Linked DNA regions of Stegostoma tigrinum. The main gene of each other region encodes a partner of the protein of the gene in region 2 in a complex. Links are inferred from orthologs where the notes say so. Each region holds a gene or a part of one and is shown on either strand. Other genes may lie near its edges.

Region 1 (6,920 bases), on a different chromosome or scaffold from region 2:
TTCAGAGAAATATTCAGGATTGAAGAACAAACTGATCTCGTAGTAACTTTCCTTCATACAGGAGATGAGGAGGAAGTATGGTGTTTAAACAATAGAAGTTCTGATAACAGACTGCACTTACTGGTAGTAGAATTTATACATTCTTCCAAATTACACAACAGTTTAATCTGTGATGATAACCACACACAAAGTTCAGTAAATTCTGAAGAGACCGGCCCCATCTCAACTGCTTTCAAAAGAGCATCCTCTTCCAACAAGGGTCCATTGTACCTGCATCAAAAAGACACCAGTGTAATTATTATTAGAAACGGAAAATGTTATCAAAACAACAGTTGCTGGGTAAAATCTTGAAGACTTCCTCCCCACAGTATTGTGGGCATATCTACAGTACATGAACTAGACCTGTTCATGAAGACAGCACACCATCATAATGTCAAGTGTAATTAGGGATAGGCAATCAATGCTGATTTGTACTCCATGAAAGAGAGAAAAACTAATCTAAGAACCACAGTCCCAGCCCAGGGGCATCACTAGAGTCATAGATGTGTACAGCATGGAAACAGACCCTTAGGTCTAACTCATCCATGTCAATGAGATATTCTACATTAATCTAGGTCACATATGCCAGCTTTCAGCCTGTATCCCTCTAAACCCTCATTTGTATACACATCCAGATGCATTTAAAATGTTGCAATTGTACCAGTCTCTACAACTTCCTCTGGCAGCTCCTTCCATACACACACCACCCCTGTCCCCCTTAGGTCCTTTTTAAATCTTTCCCCTCACACCTCAAACCTACACCCTCCAGTTTTAAACTCTGCTACCCTGGGATAGAAGACCTTGGCTATCCACCCTATTCATATCCTTCATGATTTTATGAACTTCTATAAGCTCACTTCTCAGCCTCTAACACTCCAGGAAAAATAATCCCAGCCTAAACAGCATCTCCATAAAGCTCAAACACTCCAACCCTGGCAACATCCTTGTAAATCTTTTCCGAACCCTTTCAAGTTTCACAACAACCTGCCTGTAGCCAGATCAGAACTGAACACAGTATTCCATAAGTGGCCTAACCAATGTCCAGTGCAGCTGCAACATGATCTCCCAACATCTATATTCAATACATTTTTAAATAAAAAAGTCAAAAGAATTGCAAATGCTGTAGATCAGAAACAAAAGCAGGGAGGTTGCCGGAAAAGCTCAGCAGGTCTGGCAGCCTCTGAAGAAAAATCAGGGACAGCATTTTGGGTCTGGTTCATATCAAATGCCTTCTTTACTACTGTTTAGCTGTAATTCTGCTTTCAAGGAACTACTAACCTGCACTCCATGGTCTGTTTGTTCGGCTCCGCAAGACCCTACCATTAAGTATACAAGTCCTGCCCTGATTCGCCCTACCAACATGCAGAACTTCACATTTATCTACATTAATCTCCATCTGCCAGTCCTCAGCTCATTGGCCCATCTGATTAAAGGAACCACTGTACTCCAAGGTAATCTTCTTTGCTATCCACTGCACCACCAATTTTGGTGTCATCTACAATCTTACTAACCATACCTTATGTGTTTACATCTAAATCATTTAACAAAAAGTGTCAAAAAACAGCAGACTAGTACCTATCATTACAGCAAACCGCTAGTTACAGGCTGAGTCCAAAAAGCAACCCTCCACCACCACACTGTCTCCGATCTTTGAACCAATTTTGCAACCAAATAGCTAGTTCTCCTCGTATTCCACATAATCGAATCTTGCCACTCTAGCATGTGAAACCTTGTCAAACAATTTATTGAAGTCTACATAAATAGCATCCACCACTCTGCCTTCGTCACTCCTTCAAAAAATTCACATTAGATATGATTGCCCATGCCATGATGACTATCCCTAATCAATCCTTACTTTTCCAAATACATGTAAATCTTGTCTATCAAAATCCCCAGCAATAACTTGTCTACCACTATCAGACTCAGGAGTCTATAGTCCCCTAGCTTTTCTGCACCACCTTCTTAAATAGTAGCACCATGATCACCAACCTCCAGTTTTTCAGCACCTCACCTGTGGCGATCGATCATGCAAATGTATCAGCAAAAGGGCCCAGCAATCACTTCCCTAGCTTCCCACAAAATTCTAGGGTATCACACTGCCCTATTCCATACAGATTACCAAACAACCTGAACTTGACAGAACCCAACTGCATTTGAGGCCCTGTCCCATGTTGCTTGCCATGACATCGACCTTTGGCACACATTTTCAAGTTTTTGAGATTACATCCAATCTCTCCTCTCAGTAGCCAGTTCCCATAGTGTGAGCAACAACTTTGTGAACCCACAGTATCACCAGCACTGACAACCCCAACCCCAATAATCCCTCTGGTCCAAACGTCACCAGCAACACTCGATTCTTATGATCCCACAGTATCACTAGCACTGACAGCTCCCAACAACCCCTCCCATCCTTATGGTCCAAGTGTCACCAGCACTAACCCATGGAAAACATAGTGACCGGGTGAAGTGGGATGGGTGAGGCTGATCTGGAGTAGGGTAGGTGGGGAGTCTCCATGGATGGGGGCAGTACGAGTGAATGGCCACAGTGGGTCCCTGCGCTGGAAACCACCTCCTCCCCATTCATTCCCCACAACAACAGGCAGGGAGAACCCACCACATCACTTTGCTCCATTCTTTTAATACCAAAAAAGGTATAATAAACCCTTCCACGGCAAACCAGAAAGTAAAAGCAGCAGGTAAAAGGCGGCTTACCCCAGGGCTTCCAGCGTGTCTAGGACATCCCCCTCCATGGTCAGGGTGATGATGATAGGCTCGGGCGAAAGGGCCCACAACAAACCCGAGGCCTCAGCCTGCACACAACGGCCTCAACACAGGATCCGTTCAGGCCGCACTGAACCGATCGCAGTGAATTTACCAATCGCTCCGCTTTCAAACCTGCTCCCGCTCCTTTTGTTCCAGAAGGAAACGGCAAGAGGTGCCACCACCTTCATCGGTAATAATACAAACACCGCCTCACCCCCTCGGGACATCCGCAAGCACCGCCGCCCTGGCGGCCTGGAGGACTCCACCAACCTCCCCCCCCCACCCCCGAAATACATCTCCCCGCACGTGGACGGAACCGCCAGCATCAACAACAACTTGCTGTCCCCAAACAGTCTAGAGTTATAGAGCTATGAAGCACGGAAATAGGTCCTTGGGTTCAATTCATTGGCGCTAACCAGACGTCCCAATATGACCTAGTTCTGTTTGTCAGCATTTGGCCCGTATCCTTCTCAACCCTTCCTTTGCATACACCCATCCAGATGCCTTTTAAATGTTGTAACTATACCAGCCTCCAACACTTCATCTGGCATCTGGATCCATACAAGCATCACGCTCTGCTTGAAAAATCTTACCCCTCACAAGTTTTTTAAATCTTTTGCCTCTCAAGCCTATGCCCTCTCAGTTTGAACTCCCCTTTACGAGTAAGAAGACATTGGATATTCACCCAATCCATGCCCCTCATGATTTTATAAGCCTCTACAAAATCACTCCTCAGCCTCTGACAGTCCCAAGGATAAAAGCCCAGGCCATTCAGCCTCTCTCTATTATAGCTGAAATACTCCAATCCTGGCAACATCCTTGTAAATATTTACTGCCCCTTCTCAAGTTTAACAGCTAGACTCCAAGTTAAACATTTCTTAGAAACACATTTCAGACAAATCTTCAGGACCAAGGAGCAATGTGACTTCGTAGTAACTTTCTTTCATATAGGAATGAGTGAGGAGGAAGCATAATATTTAAATAGTGGAAATTCTGATAATAGACTGCACTTACTGGTAGTAGAATTTATATATTCTTCCAAATTACACAACAGTTTGATCTGTGATGATAAGTTCAGTAAATTCTGAAGTGGATAGCCCCATCTCAACTGCTTTCAAAAGACCATCTTTGGTCCATTGAACCTGCATCAAAGAAGACCAGAATTCTACACAGTAGACTAAAAGTGGCCTCACCAATGTCCTATACAGCTATAACATAACATCTCAACTCCTATACTCAATGTTCTGACCAATGCAGGCAAGCATGCCAAATGCCTTTTTCACCACCATGTCTACCTGCAAAACTATTTTCAAAGTGCACCTGCTCCGGCAGGTCTCTTTGTTCAGGTACACTCCCCAGGCACTACCATTAACTGTGTAAGCCCTACTCTGATTTGCCTTACCAAAATGAAACACCACATTTATCTAAATTAAACTCCATCTACCACGTCTCAGCACATTGGCCCATCAGATTAAGATCCCATTGTACTGTGAGATAATCTTCTTCACTTTCCTATTTTGATGTTATCTGCAAACTTACTAACTACATCTCCTATATTCACATCCAGATCATTTATATTAATTACGAAAAGCAGTGGACCCAGCACTAATCTGTTGTCTTGTCTCGTCTTAAGCACATTAGAAAACTCTAAGCAGAATTTTATGAATTAATTTGTCCAGGCATCCCACAATATGAAGTGGTCAAATCAAGCCAGTACCAGTACAAAACAGTCCTAACTTTATTAGGAACAAAGTTACAATAATCTTTATTAATAAACTAAACTTTAATACTATTTGGCCCCTTGAGGTTACAATACTTCCCAAGTCTCTTGTAGATTTTGGATAGAGATAACGGGAACTGCAGATTCTGGAGAATCCGAGATAACAAAGTGTAGTGCTGGATGAACACGGAGCTCCTAAGATGCTGCTAGGCCTGCTATGTTCATCCAGCCCTACACTTTGTTAGCTTTTGTAGATTTACACTGTTAGTCTGTCTCTGGCTCTGTCTCTGGGACTGTGAAGCTACTTTCTTCCTCCATCTATGGATGGTCAGCTGGCCTGCTCCTATTGCCATGCTGGTCTCCTCAGAAGGCCTCAGCTTATTCCAGCAGCAGTTTTAAGAGCAGTTCCCAGAGCAACATCTGCAGGTGAACCCTGTTTCATACCTTCTTGATATTTTTTTCTGGAACTTTCTATAGCTGTGGCCAATCATGGAGACACACAATAATTTGAAACAAGAGTCAATCATTTAGATGGCATGCTACTGTTACTTTCTTTGTGAAGTAAGATGCAATGCATTTCTGTGTGGCCTCTCCTTTGTCTAGTAGATAAGTTGTTGGGGGTATGTCTGTTCAGAATTACTGTTGCCTTTTACGTTATGCTAATGTCATGAGCACCTGGCTATAGTGTTTGCAGTGTTTCTGGTGTGTGGGGTTTGTGATTTCAAAGTTTTATTTGGCCAATGTACCCAGAATCCCTGTTTTTCCAAGTTAGCAATCTATCTGTGTTTTAGCAGCCAGGAGACTGCTACATTTCACCCCTTTAGAACTGAAAACAGCTCATGCAAATGAAGTTCAAACCTAATTGTATAAGTTGGTTATGTTTGTGGTCAGGCGAGCCTATGTAATCATGTGAAAGCAATTATGTACATTGATCAAACCTATCCTATAAATATATGTACAAAAATGATGAAAACTCCTGTCATTCATACAGTATCATAGTGCATAGACAACATTCAGCAATCAAAACAAATACAAGCGACAATATTGATAACGCTGGGAGTTCCATCCATCTTAAAGCCCCTGTGTGCATGTACAGTATTATTTATAGTGAGAGGCCGATTTCTTGGGATAGCTGTCTTTCCCAGCCTGCACTCGTAGCACTGGTATCCTGAGATATATCAAGGTGAGTGCAATTAGGTCCACAGCTAGGTATGAGAAGAGCTGAGGTCACGGTTGATAGTGCATGGGCATGAAGGTATTGTCTGTTTGTTCGAGTGGTCCCGATCAATTGTCCCAATCTCTCCACAGCATGTAGGAGGGTGTCACAGTAACCCATCCCAATACCTTTTTATGTAATTCCAATATTTTCGGCTTCAAAGGTCCTCAACTCAACCTTGTCACTAGGGATAATTGGAATCCCTAGCACCAAGCCAAGCACCTTGCCAAGAGTGTGCTTGCAGTTTTCATTATACCAAACCTCGGTGAGCTGCCATAACTGACAGCTAGAGATGTTAGCATGGGATCTCTTCTGGAACAAATTTTGAGCTGTTCATAGAGTTAAACAGCATGCATCACTGATCCAGGATGGGACTTTCCCTTGGCCAGCCTGCCTGAATAACTGTTGTCTTTTATATTATGATAATTTACATTAGACTGCCTGAGGTCCTCCCTCAGCTGTTCAATCATCCAGTATCCTTGGATGCTGTACGTGTTGCGGATTTGCTGCTCCCCATCATCCCTGATTTTACCCTGGATGGCCTGGTTAATCGTATTGCTGTGACCCTCTACTATGGTCACATAGTAGTGGCTAGCCTGAATCTCTGTATTTATCCCAATGGTCTCTGGTTGATTGTCTGTATTCAGTTCTTCTAGGGCTCGTTTGACTTGTTGCATCAAGATCCTGAGTTTATTTTCCAAATTAACCAAATCAAGGCTATTGACCATTGACACCCCTGCCCCATATGCTGTGGCTAGATCATTAAATAGTTTCCTTTACTTGCATCTATTAATTGCTAGTTGGTACCATCTACACATACAGCGATTTCTGGTGGGTCATACCACAGGCTTTCTGGGTATATATTGTTTTTCCCCCTTTATACCTACACCAAAATTTTTTATACAGCCATTACAATAACACATAATACACAATAAATACTCGTTGAATCGTTGTCTCGGAGTAGCCATTCTGGTGAACTTCCTAAAAAAAAGAGGAATTTCTGTACATATCTTGGTCTATTATCTGACACTGTGCTCTACATAATATTTTTTAATTGTCAAATTGTTCCCAATTATCACCCATTCCTGGATCCCCCTTTTTAAAAATGAAATCAAAAAGGACAACAGAATAAATGTGCCCTGTATGTGCAACTGTGTGCTTGTGGCTGGGGATCTTTAAATC
Region 2 (7,140 bases):
TCCTTGCTTTTGAAATCGACGATCAGATCTTTAGCTTTGCTGATGTCGATGGACAGATTATCTTTACACCATGCCACCAAGCACTCTATCTCTCTCCTGTATTCTATCTTGTCATTGCTTGATATTTGGCCTACAGCAGTAGTGTGGTCAGCGAACTTATAGATGGAGTTCAGACAAAATTTGGCCCCAAGGTCATGTGTACAGGAAGTACAGTAAGGGGCTGAGTACGCAGCCTTGAGGGGACCAGCGTTGAGGATTGTCTTAAAGGAGGTGCTGTTGCCTATCCACGCTGACATCCTCTGTGGGTCAGGAAGTCAAGGATCCAGTTGCAGAGGGCAGGGCAGAGACCTAGGTCTCAGCGTTTGGAGATTAGGTTCAAATTATAGTGTTGAAGGCAGAGCTGTAGTCAATAGGTAGAAGCCTGACATAGGTATCCTTAGCAATGCTTGGTCAAATTCTGTCTTTATGTCAAGGGTTGTCAATCTCACCTCAGCTTTGTACTTCAGCTCTTTTGTCCTTGTTTGAACGATGGTTTTAATGAGATCTGCAGCTGAATAGCCCGGACAGACTCCAAACTGAAACAGTGAACAGATTTTGTTGAGTAAATGTCTTTGATAGCATTGTTGAGAACACCTACCTTCGCTCACTATTGATCAAGAGTAGACTGTAAGTGGCTGTGTTTAATTTGACTTGCTTTTTGGGCACATGCAATCTTCCACACTGTCAGGTTGATGCCAATACTGTACTGGAACAACGTGGCTAAGAGCACAGGTCTTCAGCTGGAATACTGTCAGGGCTCATAGTTTTGGCAATATCTAGTCTCTTCAGTCACTACTTTATATCATATAATGATCATCTTTAATAGCAGAGCAGATTCAAAGGGCCATACGGACAAATGTGTTTATGAACATTAAAACAGACTTAATTGTGCATTGTTCATTATTTCATTGGCAACCACAACATCTAATGTACATCCTTTACTGCTCTAGAACTTGATTGACCATTTCAGATGACAGTTAAGAATTAACCATACTGCTGTGGGTCTGGAGTCACGTGTAGGCCAGACAGATAAGGCTGGCAGATTTTCATCACTGAGATTTTTTTGTTTTAAAATGTCAACGAATGCTCATTTCAACATCTCCTAGGTTTCAATTTCAGAATTGTTAACTAAATTTATATTCCACCAACTGTCATGACAAAATTTGAATCTATAACCCTGGGAATTAGCTCAGACCTGAGTTACCAATTCAGTGATATTATCTCTACAGTCTCCAGGAAAAGACAGCATTTACTTCATAGAACAGTACTGCACACAAACACAGCCTTTGATCCATCACATCTGTGCCATCCATGACACCATTCTAAACTAATCCCAACTTCAGTTCCCATTCTACACAAAGCTCTATGCCTTTTTAAACCTGTGCCCATGGCACTGGAACCCAGTGAAAACAACTGGCCTGATGGAGTTCCCAGTTGTGCACGCAAATCCTGTGCAGACTAGCTGGTGGGAGTATTTGCTGACATTTTTAACCTCTCCTTTGTATGATCTGTGGTTCCCATCTGCTTCAAGAAGACCACTATCATCCAGACACCAAAGAAAAATCAAGCAGCATGTCTTAATGACTACCAACTGGTGGCTTTGATAGCCATCATTATGAATTGCTTCAAGGGGTGAGAAATGGCACACATAACTCCAGCCTCCCAGATTACTTTGATATACTACAGTTCACTTACTGCTGCAACAGTCCACAGCATCTCCCATCTCCCTTGACCCTACACTGGAACATCTGGATAACAAGGACACCTAAGTCATACCCCAACTCCACTTTCAACATCATATTTCTAGCCAAGTTCATCTTCAAACTCTGAGACTCTTAGGACTCTGTACCTCCCTCTGCAAAAGGATCCTCAACTCTCTGATTCACTGACTATAATCAATAAGGGCAGACGACAACACCTCCTTCACAATAATCCTCAACATTGGTGCCCTGCAAGGCTGTGTAATCAGAGCCTTACTATTCTCCTTATACACTCAAGGCTGCGCAGCCAAATTCTGCTTGAAATCTATTAACAAGTTTGCTAATGACGCTATCATAGTGAGTCAGATCTTAAACAAGAAAGAGAGAGCTTAGTGGCATGGTGTAAACACAACAATCTATCCCTCAATGTCAGCAAAATTAAGGAGCTGGTCATTGACTTCAAGATGCAAAGTGGAGTATACAACCCTGTCTGTATCAGTAGTGCTGAGGTGAGGATGGTCAAGAGCTTCAACTTCCAAGGAGTGAATATAACCATCAATCTGTCCTGGTCCATCCATGTCGATGCTACAGTCAAGAAAGCACATAAACACCCCTACTTCCTCAGAAGGCTAAAGAAATTTGCACGTCCATTGTAATTCTTACCAATTTTTATAGATGCACCAAAAGAATGCATCCTATCCAAATATATCACAGCATAGCATGGTAACTGCTCTAACCAAGACTACAAAAAAATTACAGAATTGTGAATGCAGCCCAGTTCATCAAGGAACTAGCCTGCTGTCCATTGACTCTGCCTGTACTTCCCACTGTCTCAGGAAGGTAGCCAACATAATCAAAAATCTATCCCACCCTGGTTATACTTTCTTCCACCCACTTCCGTCAAGCAGAAGATAGAAGTTTGAAAACATGTACCAAAAGATTCAAGAACGGCTTCTTTTTTCTTGCTTTTTGGCAGATTTTTACGTGGACATTTCATATATCAAAGTTGATATTTCTCTGCACCTTCTCTGTAGCATTCACTTCTGTTATCTCGATGTACTTATGTAAGATATGATTTGCCTGTATCGCATGCAAAACAATACTTTCACTGTCTCTCAATACATGTAACAATGATAAAATTAAATCAAATATTAAAAGATTAAGCAAGCAAAACTACTCCAACATTGAGTGAGTCAGATATATAGAGTTTTGTAGCATGGAAAAAGGCCCTTCAACTCATCTCGTCCAAGCCAGTCATCAAAACCTATCTACTCTAGTCCCATTTTTCAGTAGAATAGTAGAACAATAGAATAGAAGAATCCTTGCAGTGTGGAAGCAGGCCCTTTGGCCCAACAAGTCCACACCGAACCTCAGGGCATCCCACCTAGATCCATCCCCTTATAACCCACCAAATCTACACCTCCCTGAACACTACGGACAATTTAGCACGGCCAATCTACCTAACCTGCACATCTTTGGACTGTGGGAGGAAACTGGAGGAAACCCATGCAGATACGGGGAGAACGTGCAAACTCCACACAAACAGTTGCCCAAGGCTGGAATCAAACCCAGGTCCCTGGCGCTGTGAGGAGTACTTGGCCTGAGGCCTTATTTGTTACAGCACTTCAAGCAATCATTTAAATGCTTAAATTTTGTGATGACTCTTGTCTCTATCACCATTTTAAACAGTGAATTTCAATGATTCTATCCCTCTCATCTATGATTTTTCAAAAATCTTCCTAAGTGCCCCCAAATCACTTACCTCTTAATTTAAATCTATGCCCTCTGGTCATTGATCCCTCCACAAAGGGGAAATGTTTTGACCTATTTATTCTGTCTCTACGCCTCAAGATTTCATACATTTCAATCAGTTCCCACACTTCAACCTTCAATGCTCTGAGAATAACAGCCCCAGCCTGTTCAGCCCCCCTTCAGAGAAGAATGGCTCCAATCCAGGCAACTTCCTGGTGAACCTCCTCTACATCCTTTCCAGTAAGATCACATCCATTCTCTGTTCAAACATTGAACTGTGACAAGCCTAAAAGAGGGAGGGGGTTCACAAAATCCAGTCTTCGAAATGCACTGAGTTGTTACCATGGTAACCACCTGGCTTCAATGATAAAACAAGTTTTCAATATTCGACAATCGACAGCATTCAGACTTTCTGGCATTAAGAGTCCTCGTGTATCTCACTGAAGGGACAAATGACTCCACTGAAGCTGAAAGGTCACACGCTATACTCACCTGAAGAAGACACAAACCGTCGCTCTTCTCGCCCACCGCCATCTTGCTAAGGGCAGGAGGTGACCTCATCGTTGATGACGGACAGTCTGTTCAGCCAATCGGGTGCCGCTCAGTGAGTCCATCCGGGGATGCGAGGGATGGGACCCGGTCCTGTCGGCATGCGCAGAGGAGGCTCTCGGCGGGTCGATGGACGATCGGGAGTATTCCCTGACCGCGGCGCAGAAAGCGGTGAAGGAGAAATATCCGCCCGTCAGCAAGAAGTACGAATGTGAGTGCAGCTTCGTCTAGTGCCGCCTTTGTGGCGGAAGTACCGGGCCCCAGGTTCCAGCCGAGGACGTTCCCAGGCAGACTGTGGAGGGAGGAGGGATGGTGGCGAGAAGGAGCCTGGGCCTTGTGGGTGTAGAGGGTTGAGACGTAATCGGGTTGGGAGTGGAGTCTAGCTGGACTCTTCAAGTTAAGAATCAAGCCTAATCCCCGATCTAAAATTCTACACATTGACTGATTAATTCTCTTTCACAGACGCTGCCAGACCTGCTGAGTTTCTCAAACATTCTCTGTGTTTGGTTAAGAATCAAAAACAAATGTTGTCAGATGCTCGCAGCCGAGTTAAAAATGGGAAGGTGCAGTTAGGTCTGGACCTGGAAAAGTTAAGGGGTTTGTGATTTATTCTAGCTTCTCGATGCTGCCCAGCACCTGACCTGGAAAGCGCACATTTAATTGTTGAGTAGGTAAAAAGCAGAATGTGCTAATCGCCACCCAGAACATTCAGCCTCCCGTGTATCACCAGACAGTAAAGTATGATATCTTCACTAGAACACTGGGCAAAATCTCAACCAAGATAAATCGTAGTCACGGTGACCAATTAAGACAGCAGGAAGTGAGCAAATAATCCATAATTGTTTCCAGTGTTGTGGGGTAAATTAAACAAATACAGCTGCCGGTGTCATTGTTTTCTTTGATATAGTGGGTCATCTTAGTCGCGGTACATTGTAATCTCATGTATTATAAAATGACAAGGTTTATAAAAATGATTTTCAGCTTTTAATTTCTGTAACTTTGATTTTTTATTTGTTCTTAGACTTGGACCACACTGCAGATGTACAGTAAGTTCTTAAAACAACTACTTTTTATGGAAACAGTTAGCTATTAAAAACAATTTGGAATACACAGTTCTTTGATACTTGGGAAGTAACCTGTAATATCTGAATTTTATGATTCATGCCAGCTTTTATTGCAACTTTGGGATTCCACATTGACTCACTATGTGAATTTTGTTGTATCGTCTTTCTCATAACAAATATTTGAATGCTTTTGTTCCAGATCAACTGTTGGTTTTATTGAGCTTATTTTCTTAAAGTGTATATATAAGCTACCTTCTTCAAAGTGTTAAGCTTAATCATCACATCAACTTAAACTTTATTTAATTGAATTTAAAAAGAATTAAATTTTATCAATCATAGTAATGAAATTATGGGGCTAGGAATTCCAAAATTTATTGTAAGTTTAAACAAATTGTACATTCTGTATTCACTTTTTGCAGGAAAATAATTTTATAATTCTCCCAAAATATCAATGGCTGTCTGAAAACTTTGTCGGACTATGTTTACTTACAGGAAGATTATTGAAATGAGGAACACATTCAATCTAGTGTTGTGACTGAGATTTTAATCTTATGACATGTATATAAGATGTTCTGCATATTCTACTTGAATTGTGGAACACAAGATGCACCATAATTGCAATTTAACTTTGCAAACTGGAACGATCTGTAAAGGAAATGTTTTAAGAAACATCAATATTGGAGTATTTTCAGGCCTTGCAATTGTTGACACCGGTAGGAGAAATTAATATATATTACCAGTTATACACTTTTTTTCCCAAGTTAGTTCCTATTAATTGTAATTGGAAAATTTGCAGATATTGTGTATAATGTTTGAGTCGTCTTATTTGTATGCTATATCAACTGATATACAAACAGTAAATGTTAGAAATACACCTCTGTTCCACAAGCTCCTAAAAGATCAACCAGATCTCCAGTAGTGACTGTCCTTCAAAATTAATTTAAAAAGGCTTTGTTATTGTGCAGTCTTTTGTCATACCATTCTATGATCTGATTTCTGTCTGGCTGACCCTTTGGGATTTGTAGTTGAAAGTAATTGACAGCCACTAACTTCATAGTTTGTGATTAATATAACAGAGTTGGCAATCTGTGTGTTACATTTATGAAACAGTTAATTTCCAGTGCTGAAGTCCATGAAATTGCTACTTTTTACAGGTTACATTCATGGGGCGATACATTAGAAGAGGCATTTGAACAGGTTGTAATGGCTATGTTTGGATATATGACTGATATTGAAACGGTGCAGCCATTAACAACAATTGAAGTAGAGGCTGAAGGTAACTATGGTGACGTTCTGTGTACGTTTGTATGTATAATTTTTCAATAGACAAAACATTTCCGTGACACATTCCTCTTTAGGCTAGTATGCTCAAGTGTCAGGGCGGTTAGATCATTTCTTTGGTTCCAAATGGATTATTTTGCATGTTTCACATTTTTTTGAGATGAAGGTATGAGGATACAGGACATAATTTACTTGGTTTAAGTGTGAGCCTCAAGACATTTACTACCCATGAAGTTTGGAGAAGAGGATAAATGTGAAACACTGTATTAAACTTGGTACACTTGATCCTCTGTGCAATCAAATAAATTTTCGAAAAATAGAATAATTTTTGTTAGAAGAGAATTTTTTATCAAATATTAATTTAATAAGCACTATTCAATTAAGTGGAAAGGTGATCTGGAGTGTAATGGCCATTATGACTCTGTCAATCCACAAAATTAGAGGCAGTTCACACTTGCATATTGAGTCCTTGGTACCTGCTCAATTGCTTATCAGTACAGAAAGTAACAGTGGGGTACATTCATTAGAAAGGAAGTCAATGGGAATTGATGCCTGGTCTCCATTACCATTAATGGGTAGCAACAAGTTGCCTACCTGATGGCAAATTATAACAAAAATTTGTTTTAAAAATGTTAATACTAAAATAATTGGGTACTGTTCTAACAAATGGGCTAAGCTGATAGATAAGCTAATGTCATAAATTGAATCACTGCAAACTTTCTGATGCAAAAACTTAACGCAGTAAGCTGATATGA

What was found. The genes of interacting proteins can lie anywhere in the genome.
Region 1: zbtb8os (region 2) and fam98b share a complex: the UniProt entries of both Homo sapiens proteins name them as parts of the tRNA-splicing ligase complex. The link is inferred for Stegostoma tigrinum from reciprocal best matches to the Homo sapiens genes ZBTB8OS and FAM98B.

Annotation. Positions count from the first base shown.
Region 1 is NC_081363.1:66,498,841-66,505,760, reverse strand, and holds the start of fam98b (protein FAM98B), read right to left. Parts: upstream 3,050-6,920; 5' UTR 2,790-3,049; coding exon 2,752-2,789; intron 271-2,751; coding exon 122-270; intron 1-121. UniProt on the Homo sapiens protein: Positively stimulates PRMT1-induced protein arginine dimethylated arginine methylation.
Region 2 is NC_081377.1:45,047,955-45,055,094, reverse strand, and holds the start of zbtb8os (protein archease), read left to right. Parts: upstream 1-4,121; 5' UTR 4,122-4,169; coding exon 4,170-4,251; intron 4,252-5,061; coding exon 5,062-5,086; intron 5,087-6,258; coding exon 6,259-6,380; intron 6,381-7,140. Other genes in the region: iqcc (IQ domain-containing protein C), read right to left, coding at 489-575, 3,984-4,052. UniProt on the Homo sapiens protein: Component of the tRNA-splicing ligase complex required to facilitate the enzymatic turnover of catalytic subunit RTCB. Together with DDX1, acts by facilitating the guanylylation of RTCB, a key intermediate step in tRNA ligation.